2 linked regions of the Saccharomyces cerevisiae S288C genome follow. Changing the gene in region 1 together with any one later gene gives a genetic interaction. Each region holds a gene or a part of one and is shown on either strand. Other genes may lie near its edges. The genes, in order: GDT1 and VCX1.

Region 1 (3,197 bases):
TACAGATGTGTAAATGTACGGATTAAATCGTCGCAGCGGGGAACACCGCTTTCTGAAATTGAAAGTTTCCATACTAGAAGGTCAAGATGCTGTCAATTAGGCTAGGAATGATACAGAAAAGCTGGCTAGCCGTTCCTTCAAAGCCTTCCATTACATCTACTTTTTTACGACTTACTTGTTGCGACTACTTTTTACAACCAGTATGCCCTCTCTGCGAGATTTATCACTAGAAAGGGACCAAGAATTAAATCAGTTACGTGCCCGTATCAACCAGCTGGGCAAAACAGGCAAAGAAGAAGCCAATGATTTTGTTGGTTTAAATATTTCAAATGAACCTGTATATGACACGGTGATTCAAACAGGACAGAGCTCTAACGCAACGAATAGTTTTGTACAAGAAACTATTCAGAAGACGAAACAAAAAGAGAGTGGTCAGCCATATATTATCCCCCAAAAAAACGAACATCAGCGTTACATCGATAAGGTTTGCGAAACCAGCGATCTCAAAGCCAAATTAGCGCCTATTATGGAAGTGCTCGAGAAGAAAACGAATGAAAAAATTAAGGGAATAATAAGGAAAAGGGTATTACAGGAACCCGACCGTGACAATGATGATAGCGGCTGATCGGATAATTACAACCAATTGCGTGCGCAAGACTTCATTGGGTTGGCTGGGAAAGAAAAGCGATGAACTTAGCAAAAAAAAAAGCTACATCAAATAAATATCAGCCGTACACTAGTTACGTATGTCTATAAATATTCTTTTCAAGATTCACACTTAAATATGAAGAGAAAAAAGAGAGAATCCAAGAAGAATACGGTTACAAACCATCTCAATCCTGAGTTGTGAATGCTTGATATATATACATCAAGGCGAAAATGAAGAATAACAACGAGCTAGCAAGAGTGATTGTTCTTATGCTAATTCTTGTTGCCAATAATTTCCCACCCACCACTGCTAATCCAGAGCAAATGGCATGACCAATAACAGCACCTGCAATAACATACCAATAGTCGCTGTCAGTAGCCATGGCAATAATACTAATTTGTGAACGGTCACCTAGCTCGCCTAGGAAAACCATCAGGAAAATTTGAACCCAAACTGGGGAAAACATAAATGATGCTAATTCGCGAATCCTGTGCACTATTTTTTTACCAATCGAAGCGTTCTTCAGCTGTTTATCATACGCAGTGTCGCCTCCTTTTTCAACATCATCCATATCCTGGTTCATGTCTTTAATGGCAATTTCTTCCTCCACTTCAGCCATTTCCTCCTCAACACCTGCATCCTTAGACATCTCCAAACCTTCCATAGTCAATTTGTAACCGAACACTAAGAATAAAATACCTGCAAAAAATGCTGTATAGCGTTCAGAAAGAAAAGCAACGGCTGAATGACCCACCACACCAGAAAGGATGGTCATAATAGCGAGGGAGGTAGCTGCTGCTGAGAACACCAGAACTCTTTTGTGACGCATTGCCATCAAGGCTGCGATCAAGAAGGTTTTGTCACCAATTTCAGAAAGCCCAATCATAGAAACGGACATTAAAAAAGACTTCAAATGTGAAGAACTCCCAGATTCCATAGATGTCTCCGCATCAGTAGCTGCAGCGGCTGCGGCGGTGAACAGCGGTAGGAGGGCTATTAAAGATGCCTTCTTTATCATATTTCCCATTGAATACTCGATGGCCTCGTATTTGTATCTTGCTTTGTAGAACCTAACTTTAGCTTTATATAGACTCCACAAACAAGATTGTAGGACTTTTTGATTCTAAAATAAGGATTTCATAAACGTGTGGTTCACGATACACCTTGATCGTAAAATACATAATAAAAATTTTAAGCATGAAAGCGAGCAACAACAAAACGTTGGAATAGGGTTCGCGAAAGTATGCTACATGAGTATGAGACAAAAGAAAGAAGCGAAAAAAAGGAAAAAGCTCCTCCGTCACTTCCGCGCTGCGCTCAGCTTCCGCGCTGACATAGCTAATGCCAGAACAAACTCATCGTCGTCTACAGGAAATGTCCGGAAGTATTCAGACAGACACATCAAGGGCAATTTCCTTATTGTTCTACCACTGATATCAACGGTCTATATTGATCGCATATTTATGTTTGACAAAGACAGTTAGTGAAAGTGCTTTTTTATGAAGAAGGAAAGAAAGAAAAAGAATCGTAAAAGTAGAATAAAAGAAAAAAACATACCGAGCATTTGATAGCAATTTTCCGCAAAATGTCCTGATATTTATTGAAGAACTTGACTCCAGTTGATCTTGCGTGAAAAAGAATTATACCTGAAGTTATCATCTCCTCTATGCAAACCTTTAGAATGTGGAGGATGCCCTCAGCTGTTGGATTTCCAACATAAAAAACTCCATCTGCTCGATCAACAAAAGCATCATCTAATGAATCTAATAAATTAGACGTGGCTAATGCTAAAAAGTTATGGTATTTTTTCAGCCTGTCAAGTTGCGTAAGTAAAGTGTTCACAACTCGGATTCCATCTGTTGACTCATTTCTACTTGACAAATTTGTTCTTGAACTTGCTATTGCTTCAACCTCATCTATCAAAAGGCATATAAAGATCCCTCGTCCCTCATTGACCTTTAAAAGCTCCTCAATGTCTTTGAATACTATTGATATATTTTTTGACGATTCTCCAAACCATTTAGAAAAGATGCGTGCACAAGACAATTCTATTATTATCCCCTTATAATTAGTATCAATGGTATCGGAACCGTCTGAAAATTCCCGCCTCACAGATAATTTTTGGCAAAGTGCTTTGCATAACGTTGTTTTACCTGTTCCCGGAGGACCATGGACAAGGAGTAATTTATTATTTGTGATTAGCGTTGTAATGTCTTCTTGATTGGAGTCTCCAGTTTGTTTGAATCTTGCTATCTTGAGAGATATAGTTGCGTAGCTATATAACCTTTCTTTAATATTGTTACCAAAATACAACGATTCCCATTGGCCCTCGAAAGTTGTGCCTGGAAGATATGATATATTTACTAAGTTTAGTGTTTGCTTACTTAGTGGAATGTCAAAATTTCCCACCGAATTGATACAATTGTTTAAAGTTTCTCCCTCAAAACCATCATCCTCGTCTAGTTCTAAGTCAATCTTGTCGAACTCTGTGGACAGTATGCTGCCATTTTTCAGCTCATCTTGCTCTTCCAGACAGCAAAAGGGATAT
Region 2 (3,946 bases), on another chromosome or scaffold:
GGAAAGTCATTTTTTCTGCAACGTTTTTTTACCCTTTATGTATATATATTTACATATAAAATAAACCTCTAATCAATCAGTATTTAAAAATCGGAAGTAATGTCCATACGAAAGGGCTACGAGAATTTAACCATCTCGTTCTTTGCTAGAAATGGCACTGCGGGATAGCCCCTGGTTGCGGGATATCAGACCTGTCGTCACCATAGCAACCAAAAATTACATAAACCCATGGTTGCTCGCCCTTTGATGGCGACGCCGACCGAAGCTTCTCCCGCGCACATTTTTAAAATTTTTACTCATCGGGAATGAAAGGTTCTTTGACACATGTAAAGCTCCCTAAGTTGGACATACGTCGGTCCTTACAGGCTTAGCAATACACCTATAAGGCACTAGAAACGTATAAAATTTGAGCACTTTAGTTTCTCATCCCTTTTGATACGAAACGCGGGCAAGGCTACGGCATACAGGAATTTAACATTTTGTTGGCTATGGAGCTAAGAAGTAGACGGAGCGCAGAGGCCTATCTTGTCACGCCTGAGGAACCTGCCAAGAATAAGAGTGAACGGAGCATAGAATCCAATGAGAGGGTCGGCACGAGGGAAGCAAAGAGCGAGAACACAAGTGTATTTAGTCCCGCTTACTCTGATACCGCTACTACAGATTCATCGAAGAAAGTTGATGACAATGAATACTACAATTTTACTAGTCACTTCATGCCATCTTTGAAAAACACCAGAGAACTAGAAAACACAATTCTCAATCTCATACAGAGGATAAAGGAAGGGGATGATGAAACGTTAGTTAGTGAGAAAGATCTCATATTAAGTGTGCTTAACAGGTCTTTAGCATCCACATCTCACTGGAAGTTACAGGCCCAGCTATCGGAGTTAAGGGCCACCTCAGAGGGAAGGTATGCAGTTGAGACAAACTTGTTGAAAAAAGAGGTAGAATTTTTAAAAAACAAGACCCCAAAAACCAACGAAAGTGCAAGTTCCGCAGAGTTGAGACCACTTCTTGAACGACCTTTAAAGCGTAAACTGTCATTGCCAGGACTAGCGCAAAGACCATTATCCACTGGCGCTAGGCTAGAAGGAGGATATGGAGGTGTATCGCCGAACTCATGGAAAACCAAAGTTCCAAAACTTCCTCTTCCTGCTTCCCGGCCGTCTTTGAATCTTTCTCCCCAAAAAGTCCCAACGGGTACTGATAAAGTTGAGGAAGATACCAAAATTGACACATTGGAATTAGTAGAGAACAATAAACCGCATCCAAGGATGAGAAGAAGGAGTGACAATCCAGCAACAAACGAATATGTGAGAGTTTTTCATTTGGAGAAAAAAGAACCTAAATCACGAAAAAAATAGTATGCTAGAAAAAAATATTATTGAACGTCAATAATTTTTCTTTCTCATGGGACCAAACACATCATTTATTCTCTAATAATATTCTATTCTCTTTATTTCTGGTTTACTCTTTTAAAATTCTCCAAAGAGAAATATCTCCTTCAATTCTTCAGTTACGAATTTATGTTTACTTTTAACCTCTATCATACACCTTTAATCTAATGCCTCCAACTGTCTGTAATTTTAGTACAACTTAAAAGGGAAATTTTCCGAAAGTGTGAAAAAATTGGATTTTTTTTTCTCCTATTGAACTCAATGGAAGCTATCAGTTTGGAGAGGGACAATTATTTTCCTTCTTGTTTTTTGCCAAGAGAACAATATTGTAGTATTTAAGTTCTAATTTAATGTTATATATACTTATCTAATAGTTTTTTTTTTTCAATTAGATTGTTTTCCTTACGACGTTAATCCCTTGTCATCCTCACTTACGAACTTCGATGAATATGACATACGTAATCGGGAATGTTTTGTAAACTAATTGACGTAGTTCCTTTTTCGTAAACTGGACTGGACGGCTTGATCAAAATTCCCGAAAAATAAAAATTTCCCTCACGAGAATATGGAAATTACTATCGCCCAGCATTATTTTATCTCCTCAGAGAGTAAAAGAAGTTTCCTCTTTCCTAAACTTAAAAAGCAGTCCTAAATATATAGTTGACTTCGACGCATATCATTCATCGGCTGCTGATAGCAAATAAAACAACATAGATACAATGGATGCAACTACCCCACTATTAACTGTTGCGAACAGTCATCCCGCCCGCAATCCAAAGCACACTGCATGGAGAGCAGCTGTGTATGATTTACAGTATATTTTGAAAGCGTCACCCCTGAATTTCCTATTGGTATTTGTTCCTTTAGGTCTGATTTGGGGACACTTCCAACTATCTCATACACTGACATTTCTTTTTAATTTCTTGGCAATTATACCGTTGGCAGCTATCTTGGCTAATGCCACGGAAGAGTTGGCTGATAAGGCTGGTAACACCATTGGGGGACTGCTAAATGCTACTTTTGGTAACGCTGTGGAACTAATTGTTTCTATCATTGCCCTGAAAAAAGGTCAAGTGAGAATTGTGCAGGCCTCGATGCTAGGTAGTCTTCTTTCTAATTTGCTGTTAGTGCTTGGATTATGCTTCATATTCGGTGGATACAATAGAGTCCAACAGACATTCAACCAAACCGCCGCTCAAACAATGTCCTCATTACTTGCCATTGCGTGTGCATCCCTACTGATTCCCGCTGCCTTTAGAGCCACCCTACCTCATGGCAAGGAAGACCACTTCATCGATGGAAAAATATTGGAGTTATCCAGAGGCACCTCTATTGTTATTCTCATCGTTTACGTTTTGTTCTTATATTTCCAGCTAGGGAGCCATCACGCCTTGTTTGAGCAACAAGAAGAAGAGACCGATGAAGTTATGAGCACCATTTCCAGGAATCCACATCACTCTTTGAGTGTCAAGTCATCATTGGTGATACTTCTAGGTACAACTGTGATCATCTCTTTTTGTGCGGATTTTCTAGTCGGTACGATAGACAACGTTGTTGAATCTACCGGGCTATCTAAAACATTTATAGGTTTGATTGTCATTCCTATTGTGGGTAATGCCGCAGAGCATGTCACTTCAGTCTTGGTGGCCATGAAGGATAAGATGGATCTGGCGCTAGGTGTTGCCATCGGTTCCTCTTTACAAGTTGCCTTATTTGTTACACCATTCATGGTTCTTGTGGGCTGGATGATCGATGTTCCAATGACGCTAAATTTCTCCACTTTTGAAACCGCTACTCTTTTTATTGCTGTTTTCTTATCCAATTACTTAATTCTCGATGGTGAGTCAAACTGGTTGGAGGGTGTCATGTCTCTAGCTATGTATATTTTGATTGCAATGGCATTTTTCTATTATCCAGACGAAAAAACCCTTGACTCTATTGGAAATAGTTTATGAGTAAGAACAGTAGCGCAGAAATTCACCATTCTCTTTTTTTTTATATTTTATCTTCTTCGTAATTCTATCGATGGACCAATACAAAGATGATTATGACTAGCAAGTCATTATTATGATCGTTATATTATACATATTATGTTTACGCAACTAATTTTTATATCGAATTTTATCTGAAAAAAAGTTTTCAAAACCAACAAAATATTTTGTACACTCTTCGAAACTCAAATTCTGCACCATTTCCATTCTGATAAAAGGTTTAATATTTCGAAGCTTCTCAACTACAGCTCGTGTTCTTCTTGCAGCACATCAGCTGCTTTGCTGCACTGTTCAGGGTAACGTTATTCATTACAACGAGAATATTTAGGAATTTTGCTCAAATTCATGGAGCTTCCTACATCATTGCACAACAGAATTTCGTTTTGTAGTATAGTTTATTAGAAACAAATGTGAATAGATCATGAGACGCGAAGCCCTATTTTAGCGGATTTTAGCCTTACATTTCTGAGTGAGAATGCCAGCTGAAACACATTCTTGTTACATCTGTCACGGCATTCCAGCTGTAAAAAACCAGCAGATATCGCATAAAAAAATGGC

Evidence for each region.
Region 2: mutations in GDT1 (region 1) and VCX1 impair growth when combined (synthetic growth defect), as found in Saccharomyces cerevisiae (one study listed by BioGRID).

The regions. Positions count from the first base shown.
Region 1 is NC_001134.8:601,113-604,309, reverse strand, and holds GDT1 (putative ribosome biosynthesis protein GDT1), read right to left. Parts: upstream 1,677-3,197; coding exon 834-1,676; downstream 1-833. Other genes in the region: NTC20 (Ntc20p), read left to right, coding at 203-625; PCH2 (Pch2p), read right to left, coding at 1,950-2,093, 2,207-3,197. UniProt on the Saccharomyces cerevisiae protein: Divalent cation:proton antiporter that exchanges calcium or manganese ions for protons across the Golgi membrane.
Region 2 is NC_001136.10:230,536-234,481, forward strand, and holds VCX1 (Vcx1p), read left to right. Parts: upstream 1-2,116; coding exon 2,117-3,352; downstream 3,353-3,946. Other genes in the region: YDL129W (uncharacterized protein), read left to right, coding at 489-1,364.